Arabidopsis thaliana: one gene and its partners. The protein of the gene in region 1 interacts with the protein of each later gene in a pairwise test. Each region holds a gene or a part of one and is shown in the gene's direction. Other genes may lie near its edges.

What was found. The genes of interacting proteins can lie anywhere in the genome.
Region 2: the proteins of CEV1 (region 1) and LCV1 interact in a two-hybrid assay, tested with the Arabidopsis thaliana proteins (one large-scale study listed by BioGRID).
Region 3: the proteins of CEV1 (region 1) and ACBP6 interact in a protein complementation assay, tested with the Arabidopsis thaliana proteins (one large-scale study listed by BioGRID).

The regions. Positions count from the first base shown.
Region 1 is NC_003076.8:1,529,585-1,537,338, reverse strand, and holds CEV1 (Cellulose synthase family protein), read left to right. Parts: upstream 1-1,780; 5' UTR 1,781-2,091; intron 2,092-2,201; 5' UTR 2,202-2,248; coding exon 2,249-2,272; intron 2,273-2,444; coding exon 2,445-2,640; intron 2,641-2,758; coding exon 2,759-2,964; intron 2,965-3,057; coding exon 3,058-3,160; intron 3,161-3,272; coding exon 3,273-3,450; intron 3,451-3,558; coding exon 3,559-3,825; intron 3,826-3,925; coding exon 3,926-4,271; intron 4,272-4,351; coding exon 4,352-4,489; intron 4,490-4,577; coding exon 4,578-4,703; intron 4,704-4,784; coding exon 4,785-4,997; intron 4,998-5,123; coding exon 5,124-5,385; intron 5,386-5,548; coding exon 5,549-5,751; intron 5,752-5,847; coding exon 5,848-6,198; intron 6,199-6,353; coding exon 6,354-6,938; 3' UTR 6,939-7,207; downstream 7,208-7,754. Other genes in the region: AT5G05180 (myosin heavy chain, striated protein), read right to left, coding at 1-246, 343-415; RUL1 (Leucine-rich repeat protein kinase family protein), read right to left, coding at 7,322-7,754. UniProt on the Arabidopsis thaliana protein: Catalytic subunit of cellulose synthase terminal complexes ('rosettes'), required for beta-1,4-glucan microfibril crystallization, a major mechanism of the cell wall formation. Involved in the primary cell wall formation, especially in roots.
Region 2 is NC_003071.7:8,689,758-8,694,454, reverse strand, and holds LCV1 (uncharacterized protein), read left to right. Parts: upstream 1-1,964; 5' UTR 1,965-2,220; coding exon 2,221-2,349; intron 2,350-2,697; coding exon 2,698-2,750; intron 2,751-2,826; coding exon 2,827-2,936; intron 2,937-3,018; coding exon 3,019-3,186; intron 3,187-3,275; coding exon 3,276-3,373; intron 3,374-3,514; coding exon 3,515-3,641; intron 3,642-3,755; coding exon 3,756-3,841; 3' UTR 3,842-4,162; downstream 4,163-4,697. Other genes in the region: RPT2b (AAA-type ATPase family protein), read right to left, coding at 27-243, 348-517, 920-1,165, 1,246-1,719.
Region 3 is NC_003070.9:11,410,231-11,413,785, reverse strand, and holds ACBP6 (acyl-CoA-binding protein 6), read left to right. Parts: upstream 1-1,552; 5' UTR 1,553-1,686; coding exon 1,687-1,698; intron 1,699-2,151; coding exon 2,152-2,269; intron 2,270-2,373; coding exon 2,374-2,436; intron 2,437-2,568; coding exon 2,569-2,654; 3' UTR 2,655-3,020; downstream 3,021-3,555. Other genes in the region: FRL2 (FRIGIDA like 2), read left to right, coding at 1-801. UniProt on the Arabidopsis thaliana protein: Binds medium- and long-chain acyl-CoA esters with very high affinity. May function as an intracellular carrier of acyl-CoA esters. Confers resistance to cold and freezing.

The DNA.
Region 1 (7,754 bases):
GGACATATTTCTTCATCAATTCTTCATAACTCATTTGTTTCTCCGGGGATAAGTCATGGCTATCCATTGACCCTGGTGATACGAGGTGATGGTTAAAAGATGAGTAAAAGGCCTCCGTGTCCGAATCTAAATCGGAATAAGAAGAGTTAGAATCATGATTGCCAGAAACATCAGAACTTCCTTGGTCAAAGTTGGAAGCTACTGTATCAGACTTTGGAGTTACAGGAGGTGAAGATCCATTGTGATCTGAAACTTGACAATTGATATGTCTAATAAGATTTCTACGTTTGAACGGAAACGCACACAACCAAAATAAGACATGAATGAATTATACGGTTATACCTGTTGAGATGTCCACAAAGGAATTCGAATTATGTGGCCACTCATCTGGGACCTCAACTGTTGTAAAATCCATTACACTTAAACAACAAAAAGCGAATCAACTTAAAAATGATCAAGCAAAAAAAAATCAAAGAAACGTAAACATAGAATGATGTAACAGAAAAACCCTAAAAATACAGAAGATATACGAGATATAAAAACTGGTAAGATTTTTATTTACTTTTTTTTTTTTTATACTCCTAAGATTTAGCTATAACTAAACGTATTTATATTTTTTGACCAAAAAAAAAAAAAACGTATTTATATTTATCTCTACAATAATTTCGATTAAAAATATCTAACAAAAAAAAAAGTTGTGATAATAATCAGTGGAAAACTATCATGAAGAGACAAGCTAATGTTCTTTAATTGAAATCTTAGAAAATAAAAAAACTAGGGTTGCGTAAATTTTAAGACTTTCTTATGTCACAGAACTGAACTTTTTTCACTACATGTAAACAGAAATTATAACTCATTTGCAACGGTGAAGAAACATAGACAAAGACCCTCCATAAATCTCAGAAAAACAGAGCAAGTAACTCAGATCATAAGATCTACAAAACACATCAACGGAACAAACAAATATCAAACCCTGAAATCTGATTCACATAGGACCAAATAAACATGAGATTTCACTGACCTTGAAAATTGATATGATCGAGGGAACAAAAGAGCAGATTTACAGGAAAAGTGAAGGAGAAACAAAGGAAGGTTTAAGTAGAGGATTGCTAGGGTACGAGAGTTACGAAGCAGAAGGTGGAAAGGTTTAAAGGGACGACAAAGAGGAGGGAAGATTTGTCGGATAGCGAAGAGAAAGTGGCGCTCTTTGGGATTCAAATGTTTGCCATTTTCTTCTTTTGTCTATCTGACAGTCTGTTCTTTGCTGCACTAGTGGCCACACATCTCCACATGCACCACCAGTTATCAAAGTTTGACCTATTAATTATTGGGTTCGGTTCGATTCAATTTTCTCTCGTAAATAACGTAAACCGAACATATACCAATTTTGTCTGCAAAGTCCAACAAACCCATTTTCTCGATTCTGTTGGGCTTGATGATACTAGAGTTGGACCTTTATTTTTTCAGCCCGCTGGTTTTAGCCTATTTTGATATACTAGTAAGTAAAGCATCACTATCAATATATTTTGATTTATTCATTGGACTAATCCGTTGATTAATTAATATTTTGAAGTTTTATTTTTGTCGGCAAATACTTTTTAAGTTTTATCTGTAAGAAAGTTAGTGACGATGAATATCCTTTACCCCACTACTTGTGATTTGTTGTGTTCTTCACACTTCTATTTTAGTTATATCACTATCAAATATCAATTACTATTTTGATTTAGTCACTAATTCGATGATAATATATTTCTAAGGATATTTTAAAGGTTTATCGGCCGTTTTTTCACTTTTTTTACAGCCACTGTAAAACTGTAACTAGAAAAAAATCGACTGTGGAAGTTGTCGGTGGTGGTGGTGGTTGTTGCTTGGTTGGATTATGATTTGTGACAAATATATTAATATTTTAAAAATCTGGAAGAGTGACGAGTAGAGGAGACAAATAGCTTGCTCTTTGCATCTTCTTAGCCATCCCAAGATTCTCCTCTTCGTCTTCCTTATAAACTATCTCTCTGTAGAGAAGAAAGCTTGGATCCAGATTGAGAGAGATTCAGAGAGTCACATCACCACACTCCATCTTCAGATCTCATGGTAAAGCTTTTAACTCTTCTTACACTCATGATCCATTCTCAGATTTGACTTCCTTTACTCGGATCTCCTCAGATCTAATCGTAGTTTCTGTTTTTGATAATTCCGATCAGATTTGAACTATTCCGACGTTTCGGTGTTGGAAGCAACTAAGTGACAAATGGAATCCGAAGGAGAAACCGCGGTATGCTTTTTTGACTCTTGCTTCATCATTATACTTACCTTTATCGAAATCAGGAATTATATGTACTGAAATTGATTGATTTGGGTGTTGAATTGTGTATTGGAGAGATCTGATTTCAAATTTTCTGTTGAGGTTTCTAATTTTGGCTTCATTGATTCGACTTGATTTGTAGGGAAAGCCGATGAAGAACATTGTTCCGCAGACTTGCCAGATCTGTAGTGACAATGTTGGCAAGACTGTTGATGGAGATCGTTTTGTGGCTTGTGATATTTGTTCATTCCCAGTTTGTCGGCCTTGCTACGAGTATGAGAGGAAAGATGGGAATCAATCTTGTCCTCAGTGCAAAACCAGATACAAGAGGCTCAAAGGTTCTCTTTTGATCCTTCTGAAGTATACTGTCTTCATTGTTCATCGATAGTTTATCAGTATGTTTTGAATTTTGGATCAGATTGGTATTTATAGCAATTTGCTAATTTCTGATTCTAGGTAGTCCTGCTATTCCTGGTGATAAAGACGAGGATGGCTTAGCTGATGAAGGTACTGTTGAGTTCAACTACCCTCAGAAGGAGAAAATTTCAGAGCGGATGCTTGGTTGGCATCTTACTCGTGGGAAGGGAGAGGAAATGGGGGAACCCCAGTATGATAAAGAGGTCTCTCACAATCATCTTCCTCGTCTCACGAGCAGACAAGATGTAAGGCATTGCTGTTCATTCTTCCCTCTTAAGCATTCGCATCCTCACGCAATTTAGTTTTGGAATCTGATTTTGTCATTTGCTTATTTACAGACTTCAGGAGAGTTTTCTGCTGCCTCACCTGAACGCCTCTCTGTATCTTCTACTATCGCTGGGGGAAAGCGCCTTCCCTATTCATCAGATGTCAATCAATCACGTAAATATCCTTTATTTCTAACTCTCTCGCCAACACATATATTTGTACCTAGGCTTCTCTTTTATGTCAAAACTCTAAACAATAAAATCTGTTGTTGTCATTCACGCTGCAGCAAATAGAAGGATTGTGGATCCTGTTGGACTCGGGAATGTAGCTTGGAAGGAGAGAGTTGATGGCTGGAAAATGAAGCAAGAGAAGAATACTGGTCCTGTCAGCACGCAGGCTGCTTCTGAAAGAGGTGGAGTAGATATTGATGCCAGCACAGATATCCTAGCAGATGAGGCTCTGCTGTGAGTTCTTGTTTTGTAATCTTGTTTGTTCTGTCGTGGTGTACCGAGCGTTTTTCCTATTAAGCAATGTCCTGATACTCATTTTCCAATTCTTTATTTATTGTACAGGAATGACGAAGCGAGGCAGCCTCTGTCAAGGAAAGTTTCAATTCCTTCATCACGGATCAATCCTTACAGAATGGTTATTATGCTGCGGCTTGTTATCCTTTGTCTCTTCTTGCATTACCGTATAACAAACCCAGTGCCAAATGCCTTTGCTCTATGGCTGGTCTCTGTGATATGTGAGATCTGGTTTGCCTTATCCTGGATTTTGGATCAGTTTCCCAAGTGGTTTCCTGTGAACCGTGAAACCTACCTCGACAGGCTTGCTTTAAGGTAAGTTCTATTTCCCCATTCTTCTGAAGCAATTACTCAAAGGATTGTTTGCCTATACTGTTTCCCATTTTAATTTGATCATGGTCAATTTTTGGGACAGATATGATCGTGAAGGTGAGCCATCACAGTTAGCTGCTGTTGACATTTTCGTGAGTACTGTTGACCCCTTGAAGGAGCCACCCCTTGTGACAGCCAACACAGTGCTCTCTATTCTGGCTGTTGACTACCCAGTTGACAAGGTGTCCTGTTATGTTTCTGATGATGGTGCTGCTATGTTATCATTTGAATCACTTGCAGAAACATCAGAGTTTGCTCGTAAATGGGTACCATTTTGCAAGAAATATAGCATAGAGCCTCGTGCACCAGAATGGTACTTTGCTGCGAAAATAGATTACTTGAAGGATAAAGTTCAGACATCATTTGTCAAAGATCGTAGAGCTATGAAGGTAAGTTTGTAGTTTTAGTCATCTAGTCACCCTCACTTTGATTTTAGTGTATGCTATATTGACCTTTTATTTTCTTTCAGAGGGAATATGAGGAATTTAAAATCCGAATCAATGCACTTGTTTCCAAAGCCCTAAAATGTCCTGAAGAAGGGTGGGTTATGCAAGATGGCACACCGTGGCCTGGAAATAATACAAGGGACCATCCAGGAATGATCCAGGTAAGAAATTGGTTTTAACTATGGAATCGAGAATGCTCTCTCTTTCTCTCTAGAAGTTCATTATTGAAGTACCATTTGCTGAATGCAGGTCTTCTTAGGGCAAAATGGTGGACTTGATGCAGAGGGCAATGAGCTCCCGCGTTTGGTATATGTTTCTCGAGAAAAGCGACCAGGATTCCAGCACCACAAAAAGGCTGGTGCTATGAATGCACTGGTAAGTTTCTGATCTTGGATTTTTGACTTCTTCATTCTGACCAATTTGTTAGTCTAATCTGGGTACTTTTCAAATGAATAGGTGAGAGTTTCAGCAGTTCTTACCAATGGACCTTTCATCTTGAATCTTGATTGTGATCATTACATAAATAACAGCAAAGCCTTAAGAGAAGCAATGTGCTTCCTGATGGACCCAAACCTCGGGAAGCAAGTTTGTTATGTTCAGTTCCCACAAAGATTTGATGGTATCGATAAGAACGATAGATATGCTAATCGTAATACCGTGTTCTTTGATGTAAGTCACACTTACCTATACTTGCGTCTAATTTTCTTGTTCTTTCAAATTGCTTTTAGACACGAATATACATTAAACTCACAGTTTCTTGAGTTTGTCGTAATTTTTCCATGATATGTTTTCCAGATTAACTTGAGAGGTTTAGATGGGATTCAAGGACCTGTATATGTCGGAACTGGATGTGTTTTCAACAGAACAGCATTATACGGTTATGAACCTCCAATAAAAGTAAAACACAAGAAGCCAAGTCTTTTATCTAAGCTCTGTGGTGGATCAAGAAAGAAGAATTCCAAAGCTAAGAAAGAGTCGGACAAAAAGAAATCAGGCAGGCATACTGACTCAACTGTTCCTGTATTCAACCTCGATGACATAGAAGAGGGAGTTGAAGGTACAACTGTTTTTATTTCTTCTTTGGTTTCCGTTATACCCATATGTTGCTGTTTGAAATATTGATCCAGGGGAGGGGATTATTTATAGTTGACAGTTGTCTAAATAGTTTCCATACTAGGTATCTCATCATGTCTTAACTATTTGGCATTTGTGAAACTTAGGTGCTGGTTTTGATGATGAAAAGGCGCTCTTAATGTCGCAAATGAGCCTGGAGAAGCGATTTGGACAGTCTGCTGTTTTTGTTGCTTCTACCCTAATGGAAAATGGTGGTGTTCCTCCTTCAGCAACTCCAGAAAACCTTCTCAAAGAGGCTATCCATGTCATTAGTTGTGGTTATGAGGATAAGTCAGATTGGGGAATGGAGGTATAATCTCATTTGAACTCCTACATGAATCTGCATTGTTCTGACATATCCACTTTGGCATTCACTTTGTTTATATTTTCCGCTGTCTTTCTTCAGATTGGATGGATCTATGGTTCTGTGACAGAAGATATTCTGACTGGGTTCAAAATGCATGCCCGTGGATGGCGATCCATTTACTGCATGCCTAAGCTTCCAGCTTTCAAGGGTTCTGCTCCTATCAATCTTTCAGATCGTCTGAACCAAGTGCTGAGGTGGGCTTTAGGTTCAGTTGAGATTCTCTTCAGTCGGCATTGTCCTATATGGTATGGTTACAATGGGAGGCTAAAATTTCTTGAGAGGTTTGCGTATGTGAACACCACCATCTACCCTATCACCTCCATTCCTCTTCTCATGTATTGTACATTGCCAGCCGTTTGTCTCTTCACCAACCAGTTTATTATTCCTCAGGTTTGACACCTCTCTCTGTCTATCTATCTCTATCTCTATCTCTATCTCTAGAACAAACCTTAATTACGTTCTGTTTAACTGAAACCATGTTGTGTTTGTCATCTATTTACGGTTCCAAATCCTGATCAGCTGGTTCTATTGTTCCTCTTTTGCAGATTAGTAACATTGCAAGTATATGGTTTCTGTCTCTCTTTCTCTCCATTTTCGCCACGGGTATACTAGAAATGAGGTGGAGTGGCGTAGGCATAGACGAATGGTGGAGAAACGAGCAGTTTTGGGTCATTGGTGGAGTATCCGCTCATTTATTCGCTGTGTTTCAAGGTATCCTCAAAGTCCTTGCCGGTATTGACACAAACTTCACAGTTACCTCAAAAGCTTCAGATGAAGACGGAGACTTTGCTGAGCTCTACTTGTTCAAATGGACAACACTTCTGATTCCGCCAACGACGCTGCTCATTGTAAACTTAGTGGGAGTTGTTGCAGGAGTCTCTTATGCTATCAACAGTGGATACCAATCATGGGGACCACTCTTTGGTAAGTTGTTCTTTGCCTTCTGGGTGATTGTTCACTTGTACCCTTTCCTCAAGGGTTTGATGGGTCGACAGAACCGGACTCCTACCATTGTTGTGGTCTGGTCTGTTCTCTTGGCTTCTATCTTCTCGTTGTTGTGGGTTAGGATTGATCCCTTCACTAGCCGAGTCACTGGCCCGGACATTCTGGAATGTGGAATCAACTGTTGAGAAGCGAGCAAATATTTACCTGTTTTGAGGGTTAAAAAAAACACAGAATTTAAATTATTTTTCATTGTTTTATTTGTTCACTTTTTTACTTTTGTTGTGTGTATCTGTCTGTTCGTTCTTCTGTCTTGGTGTCATAAATTTATGTGTAGAATATATCTTACTCTAGTTACTTTGGAAAGTTATAATTAAAGTGAAAGCGAATATTTTTTTGTTTCTGTAGTTAAAGCAGTGGTTATGATTTTTCAATTTTCATTAGTGAAAGCAGTTACGTTTGATCATAAGCACTAAACTACGATGCAAAGAGAAATTATTTTTAACTGGGATTCAAAAGTAATAAGATAGAAGTAGAATTGATCAAAGAAACTTTTGGTCGGAATGAGGAATCATTCAGAGACATTGGAAGTAGCCTCTGAGGATGTTCTGTTTTGCTGTAACTGCTGAGACTGATCCAATCTCCTCACATCTTCAATCATCCTCGCGACCTCTTCCATCTTTGGCCTCGATTCTGGATTCCTTGCAACACAGGCCAACGCTAGCTGAAGCATCTGAACCATCTCCTCTTCAATGTTCTGAAACTTCAAGAGCTCCACATCGAAAACCTCTGCAGTCCACTCTTCTCTCACAACAGACCGAACCCATCTCGGAAGATCAATGACGACACGCTCATCCTCGAGACCAGGCTGAGTTAAAGGTGTCTTCCCGGTTAGCATTTCGAGAATCACCACACCAAAGCTATAAACGTCTGATCTTTGACTGACTCTCCTCGTCTCAATAACTTCAGGAGCATTGTAGCCAATGGTTCGCGGTGTGTGAGTT
Region 2 (4,697 bases), on another chromosome or scaffold:
AACTTAAGGATCACCAGTTGTGGAACCTGGAAGATACGTCTTCTTGTTTTGATATCTGGAAGAGGGAATTCGATTTTCCTGTCGATCCGGCCTGGTCTAAGAAGTGCCGGGTCAAGACTCTCGATCCTGTTTGTCGCGAGAATAACCTTAACATCTCCTCTTGAATCAAACCCATCAAGCTGGTTCAGTAGTTCCAACATGGTTCTTTGGATTTCACGTTCCCCACCTGAGTTTGCGTCATACCTGTTTCAACCACCATTTTATATCACATATTAGATACCATCTCTTGAGCAAAATCAAGAACATTGTTTATCAATGGATCATGTTTATGTTGTATTTAGGCATACCGCTTGGTGCCAACAGCATCAATCTCGTCTATGAAAACAATAGAAGGAGAAAGGTCATCAGCAACCCTGAAAAGTTCCCTCACAAGCTTGGGACCATCTCCTAAATACTTCTGAATCAGTTCACTACCGACAACACGCAAGAAAGTAGCTGAAGTAGAATTTGCCACTGCCTGAAAGAATAACAAGAAATAACACTTGCTCATCTCCAACAGTTCCGAATTTAACAAGCATAAGAGACACATTAAAAAGAGGCACACTGCAACAATCCATGCTTGCGACATAGACAAAAAGAAAACGAAGACATTAAATCAATCCACGTGACTCTGAAAATCTTCCTCTATCTACACAAGTACTATGATCTAATATCTCAATTCTAGGTGATCAAACCAAAGAAGCCACTGTCCTGACTAATTCATCTTTCTAGTGAAGATTGATAAAAGACAGAAAATTTTGCATGCATGACTTGACATAAAACCAATCATACTTGGGAAGTACCATTATGTGCTGTATTAAGCAATTAACAACTAGAAAGCTTATTATATAATGGATACACTATAGGCTAAAAGACGAACCTTAGCAAGCAATGTCTTCCCAGTGCCTGGCTCACCATACAAGATCACACCTTTTGGTGGCTTAATTCCAATATCTTCATACAGCTCGGGATGTGTTAAAGGTAACTCAACAGCTTCCTTAATCTCCTGAATCTGAGCTTCTAAACCTCCAATGTCAGCATATGACTCCAAAGGAGCCTTCTCCACTTTCATCACAGACACCATTGGATCCACTTCATCTTGAAGAATCCCAACAACAGAGAGTACCTATCACAAAAATAATAAAAAATATCACATAGAAGAATTGGTTCAACGTTTCCATGGAAGAGCATTGTAAAACTCAATACCTTGTTATGCATCAAAATAGAGCAGCCAGGTTCAAGCTGATCCTTATCAACGAAAGACAAAATGCCAACGTAGTACTCAGGACCAACCGAAGAAGAAACAATGGCGTGATTCTCATCAATAAGCTCTTCAAGATTGCCAACACTCATAGGTGTACCACGAAGATCATCAACTTTAGATCTATCTTCCTCAGCTTTCTCTTCCTGAGGTTTCAATCTCTCCTGATTCGCTACGAACTCTTCCTCCATAAGCAAATAGTCCTTGATTCGCTCCAATTTCAGCAATCGAAGCTTACATTTAGTAGAAGGAGTCACCGTCGGCAATCTCGCCGCCGCTTCAGGTCCTTTCTGCTTCCGTTGCTTCCTCCCTACACGAGCAGGTGGTGCGGCTGGTTCGAACTTCTTCTCCTTCTTCTCTCCACCATCTGGTTTCCGATCTCCTTGCCGATTCAATCCGCCGGAAGGTCCTTGACCCATTGTGCTTCGTCTCTCTGAGGTTTCTTGCTCTCGGAGAAACAAATCTTTTAATCTGATAACGGGAGGAGATGATTAAAGTGGGCTTATTATTTTAGGCCTTTTTACGATGTGAAAAACTTAGTGGGCCTTAGGTATCGCAAATTTTTTTAAAACTGATTCAACCTAAGCTATTATCTGGTTTAGTTCAATAACTCGGTTTAATTATCTTTAATTTCGGTTTAAGTTTTGTAAAAGTCAATTCGTTGGTTTGGTAGTTGGTACGGTCAATCGGTACAGGTAAGGAACTTTTCTTTTGCCATTTGGGGAAATCGAATCAAAAATCAATTTCATCGTCTTCTCTATCTGTCATTCATCATCATCACAATCATCATCATCAAATCTCAGGATCTTCGAGGTGGTTCTTCTGTTTCGCAACTAGCTTCTAGATTGTGATTTACAATCTTCGAACTCTCGGTGAGTTTCTAGGTTTAGGGTTTTATCTCTCTTTACACGACAATTGTTATGGCCAATCGAGAAAGAGATCGAGAGCTTCTGATTCCCGTCGCTGATTTCGGCGACAAAGACGATGGTTCTTCTTCGAAGCCTTCTTCTTCTTCCTCTGCTTCTTCTTCGCATCAATCCGGCCACGAGGTCTAGTTTTTGTCACCTGATCTAAAAACGTGTTCTTCGTTTTCTCATTTCAAGATTCATGCGAAACTAACAGTAGAATTGGATGATAGTTATTCATAGATTTGGTCGATTCTGTCTCCCCTTAGTTCAAAATCTTGGAACTTGTTTTGCCCTAGATTCAGTATATCACAAGAACACTTGCTTAGATAAGTTTGGTAGTTGTGATTGAGTAGAGTATGAATTTGCATTCCAAGTTGTTGTGGTTGGAATCATTCAGATTCTTGAGTCTTTGTATTATGCTCATTCATGTTTTCAAGCATGTATAACTTATAGAGCATTGTGGCCTGATGCTTTAGCTCTTTTCTGCAGACTTTAAGCTTGTTCATTAGGGGTTGGGCGTCAAAGAAGTTCATGACAGGCTGGTAAGGAAGAGTTGAAATTTTGGCATTTGATGAAAACTTCCACAGATTAGTTTTAAGTCTCCATTGCTTTTTGCAGTGTTATCCTACTTCCTATTGCAGTTACTTTCTATACAACATGGTGGTTTATTCACTTTGTCGATGGATTCTTCTCTCCAATATATGCACTACTTGGAATCAACATATTTGGTAAGAATTTGAATGGCCCCTCTTTATCCTATTAACAACTTGATATCGGTTTCCCACAATGAGTTTGATTATTGTTTTGTAGGTTTCGGTTTTTTGACTTCCATTGCATTCATCTTCTTGGTTGGGGTGTTCATGTCTTCGTGGTTGGGGGCATCGGTTCTGAACTTGGGAGAGTGGTTTATCAAGCGGATGCCATTTGTTCGTCACATCTACAACGCCTCCAAGCAAATCAGCACTGCCATATCGCCTGGTCTAGCTTGCTTATAAAAATCTTGTTTTGCTTCTCAACATTAAGTTGATCTCCTATCTCATCTTGTTCTTATCCATTTCTCATCACAGATCAAAATACACAAGCTTTCAAGGAAGTTGCAATCATCAGGCATCCCCGTGTAGGTGAATATGCATTTGGCTTCATTACATCAACTGTTGTTCTCCAGGTGAGTGAAAATACTTTGCTCAAGGATTTTGTTATTCTTTCCAGAACGTCTCCTTGAGGATACAAACAATTTCGAGTTATATGGTTTACCATAATTTCGTAATCTTTTTACCCAATGTAATAATGCTATTCGTTCTTGCAGAACTACCCAACCGAGGAGGAACTTTGCTGTGTATACGTTCCCACGAACCACCTTTACATTGGAGATATACTACTTGTCAACAGTAATGACGTTATCAGGCCAAACCTCTCTGTCCGGGAAGGAATTGGTGAGATTTCAGAATCTAATTGTCTATACTAGATACATTTATCGTTTGTTATATAGCATTCAAATTATTTTGTGGAAAGATACTGAACACTGTATACTCATTCTTCATCTGCAGAGATTGTTGTTTCCGGGGGAATGTCAATGCCGCAGATTCTATCGACTCTTGATAAACCTTTGGCCTCGATTGGAAATGAATCTTAAAGTGACTATTCAAAAACCTTTGGCCGATCGATAGGAAAAAATAAAAAATCAGAAGAGACGTTTCACAAAATCTGAGCGAATAGAGAAACCAAAAAACACAGAAAAATTTGTCGAGAAGTGTAATTTGTCAATATTATTTGAATAACCTTGTTTTCTTTTAGCCCTTTTAAAAATAATTTTTTTTCTTTTCTTATAGATTATAATTTGTATCCGCGTCCTTGTGTCTTTCATATTACTGTCGCATTGACTTTATAACAAAAAGATAATCAAAGATAATCCCACCCTAATAATAATCACATGACAAATGGCAATATCGTTTTACATATTAGGGAATAGTATAAAATGTGGTATATATAGAGAGACATTGTTGATCGAAGAAAAAAATGGTCTAACATTTCTCTGTCTAGCTCTTCTTTTGATCTCAGGTACGTTTTGTTTCCAACATGTTACTAATTCTTATGGTGAAATAAAATACTGCAGCTAAAAATGTATCGACCAAAATTTTCTTAGAGGAGGATTGTGCTTAGCACCTGACCTAATTATGAATCTTCATTTCTCTGCCTTTGTAAACTTTAATTTATTTTAGAACTTTATCTCATATAGAAATCTCAAATATATATATATTATAGTTTTTGCTTAACTTTTATATTTAAAATAAATCTGAAAGTTGTAAGAAAATTATTTTCCATATCAGATTTAACATTGGGTGCAGTCTTGGGAAAATATATAATCGTTAGAATAATTTTCTCTTTTAATGTGATAATTCGAAGACGTATGTAACAAACAAAAATGACAATAATAAATATTACAGTATAAATCATTTAAAACATATACTATAATTAGTTATTTTTTGCTT
Region 3 (3,555 bases), on another chromosome or scaffold:
TTGGTTGCAGCTTTTGAATTAGGGTCTTTATTTAGTACTGAGGAGATTTGTGATTACATTTTCTTGATCTCTAAGTATAAACAAGCAACAACGATCTGCAAGAAGATTGGTTTAGATAGAAATCGAATAGGAGTTCTCGTTCAGAAGTTTTTGGATACTGGGAGATTACTTGTTGCTATTAGATTCATTTACGAGAATGAGATGGTGGGTGAATTTGAACCAGTTTCGATTTTGAAAACTAGTTTGAAGAACTCTAGAGAAGCTGCTAAGAGAGTTTGTGCTGAAGGGAATTACTCTCTTAAGGTGCAGAACGAAGCTACTGATAAAGAACTAAGTGCTTTGAGAGCAGTTATCAAAGTCGTGAAAGAGAAAAACATCGAGTCCGAGTTCATGGAAGAGAAACTCGAAGAATGTGTTAAGGAGTTGGAGGATCAGAAAGCTCAGAGGAAGCGTGCCACTAAGTTCAATTCACCTGCTAATCCCCAACAACCACAAGAACAAAAGGTCGATAATAAGCGTCCTCGAGTTGCTAATGGTTCAAGTATGGAATATAATTTGACAATCCCACCTCTGAGGCCGCAACAACAACCACCACTTTTGCCTACTCCTAGTCAGATTTTACAAGTGAACCCATATGGTCTTTTAAGCTCAATACTTCCTGGTGTTGCTGTCCCATATGGCAACCCAAGGGCTCTATTTGGCTCGGTTCCAGCTCCAGCTTCTCGACCCGTCTTTTATGTGCAGCAAACTGGTTATGGGATGCCACCACCTCAGTACCGCCCACCGTACTATCCTCAGTAGCATCTCTCTATTGGTAAGATTTATTATAGGAATGCAAGCGATATTGAGAAGATTTCTGCTCGAACAGGTCTATGCTCTCTATGTGTTTTTGATGTTCAGTAATGAATATCAAGTAAATTTCGAGAGTTTTGACATAGATAACACTTGATATAGTCGCTGTTTGGGGGATAACATAAGAGCAAATTGATCCGTTTTTTCTTTTTTTGTTTACCTGGTGAAGCGACTATAGAGGATTTTGCCTTGATTGTACAGTTTTATAACCTAACCTTAACCTCTTTTTAATTTAGTTTAGTTTACTTGTGGAGGAATGGTCTTTATGGTTTTGATCTAACATTTATATTCCTTGATTTGTTAGGTAATCTTCCAAGATTTCCTCCCTTTTTTCTTATAATCACCAAAGATCCCTTTTGGTTTGATTTGTTGTAGTGGGAAGAAATCTACGTGTCTGGATATCTAAAATGATCCAAAGGATAATATTCAACTAGCACAGAAACAGAAATAGTTTTTTTTTCATTAAACTATTTAAGTTTACAAAAGGATATGCTTATGGTTTTTCTGATGGAACAGAAAATTAATATTGTCATTTCAATGGAGAAGGAACATGTTCGATGAGCAAAAAAAAGAAAAAACAGAACATGTTCTTTGTTTTACAGTTGTACCCATACTGATCAGAATAAGCCAATCAACGGGGTGTCTGAATCCACGTATACAGTATCTATCTCTAAAAATATTTATTTCCTTTAAAGAAAATATTTAATAGTTATGGCTTATGGGCCTGAGAGGTTTATCATGACGCCCATATATATCTCACGCGTTGTCCTCGTCTTCTCCGTCTTACACTGATTTAATTCTCCTACCAATCTCAACTTCCGACGTCTATTCATCATGGGTTTGAAGGTACGTTCAGATCCAAAATGAACCAAACCGATCTCGGTTTCGGTTTATTACTACTCGGATCTTAGTTTTGTTTGTGTTCACCATTCCTGAATTCTATATTTTCTGTGTTGGTAGCCTTGTTTGATCCAGATTTGCAGATATATAGGTTCCTTATAGTTACGAAATTGAAGCTTGTATAGTCAAGAATGATCACTTTATGGAATTGAATTATTACTGATCACGCTTTTTCTCTGTATGATTTTGTCCATTTACTGTTCTTATAACTGATTTGTTAAACACTGTTTGCTGATGGGTAATATAGTTTTGAATCTGAGCTAGGTTTGGTTTTATTGAGTTTTGTTTGATTATTGTATCCCGATTGAGAATTTTAAGTAGTAATATGTTTGATGGTGTATTAGGCTATTAAGAATCTTTTCTTCGAATTTGTTGTTTCACTGATTTATATATCTGCAGGAGGAATTTGAGGAGCACGCTGAGAAAGTGAATACGCTCACGGAGTTGCCATCCAACGAGGATTTGCTCATTCTCTACGGACTCTACAAGCAAGCCAAGTTTGGGCCTGTGGACACCAGTTAATATTTTTGTCTGAATATTAACATCCTCTATTTTTGCTTCTTAGTTCACTTTTCTGTAATGTTGTTAATAATGTGTATTTGTTTATTGATTGATTCAAAGGTCGTCCTGGAATGTTCAGCATGAAGGAGAGAGCCAAGTGGGATGCTTGGAAGGCTGTTGAAGGTACAAAAACAATTCAAGTGATCAACTTTTTTAGCTTAGTGATTTGTTTGTAATTTGGATTCTTGTCTCAAGTTCAACAATTTTTTGTGCTTGGGGAATTGAATTTGAACTTTTCTTTGTTTATGATGTCAGGGAAATCATCGGAAGAAGCCATGAATGACTATATCACTAAGGTCAAGCAACTCTTGGAAGTTGCTGCTTCCAAGGCTTCAACCTGATGAATCAAATCCTCATCTGCAGTAACTTTATCTTAAGCATCAAAATAACATTGCATAAGACTTGTTCTTGCTCTTGTGTTTCTATCATATTTAAGCTATCTACTTTGTGACATGGTGTGATCTCTTAAAAATGCTTGATATTGGTTAAAACAGAGAATCATGATGCAAACTAAATCCATAAGTTATTTTTGGTCCGTCCTCGATATGGTCTTAGTTAAAACAGTTGAATTCAAGATGATATATTCGTTCTGGTCCGTAGGTCTTTTTCTTCATGGTCCATCGCATTCACCACTCACTAGAAAACTTTCGTTTTATTTCAATTTGGAGTACATAAGACAAAAGCTGGAAAAAAAAAGAACGTGGCAGATTTTTTATTTATTTTTTTCGTCTCGAACATTGGCAGAATTGTTCAAATTGTATGTGGTTTATTTAAAGTCAAATTCGTAAATAAATAGACGTTTAGTTTTAAAGTGTCTACAAATTTGAGGTTTATAATTTGGTAGATGACAAAAACAATAGTTTTTTTATTGAGTTGATCATAATTACTTTTATTTTTTATTGATTGTAGATTAACTTCCTTCCCTTAATGATAATCTCTTAACCGTGATTCAAGAAATTAAATAATATTGTAGAATATTAAAATAATTAATTGTATGTTGAACATACTAATATTTAGTATTATGATAATCTCTTTATCAAAATTATACATCTAGAATTTTTATATTAAATGCATTGTGTTTTTCAATTGAAAATTAAACGATATAAATATATAGTATATGCACTTTAACATAACAAATTCTTTTATATATTTTAATATAAGTGAAATAATTAATCTATATATACATTTTTGTAGGAGGTTTTTGAAGATAATGTTGAAGATGTGAACCATAATTCAACAATT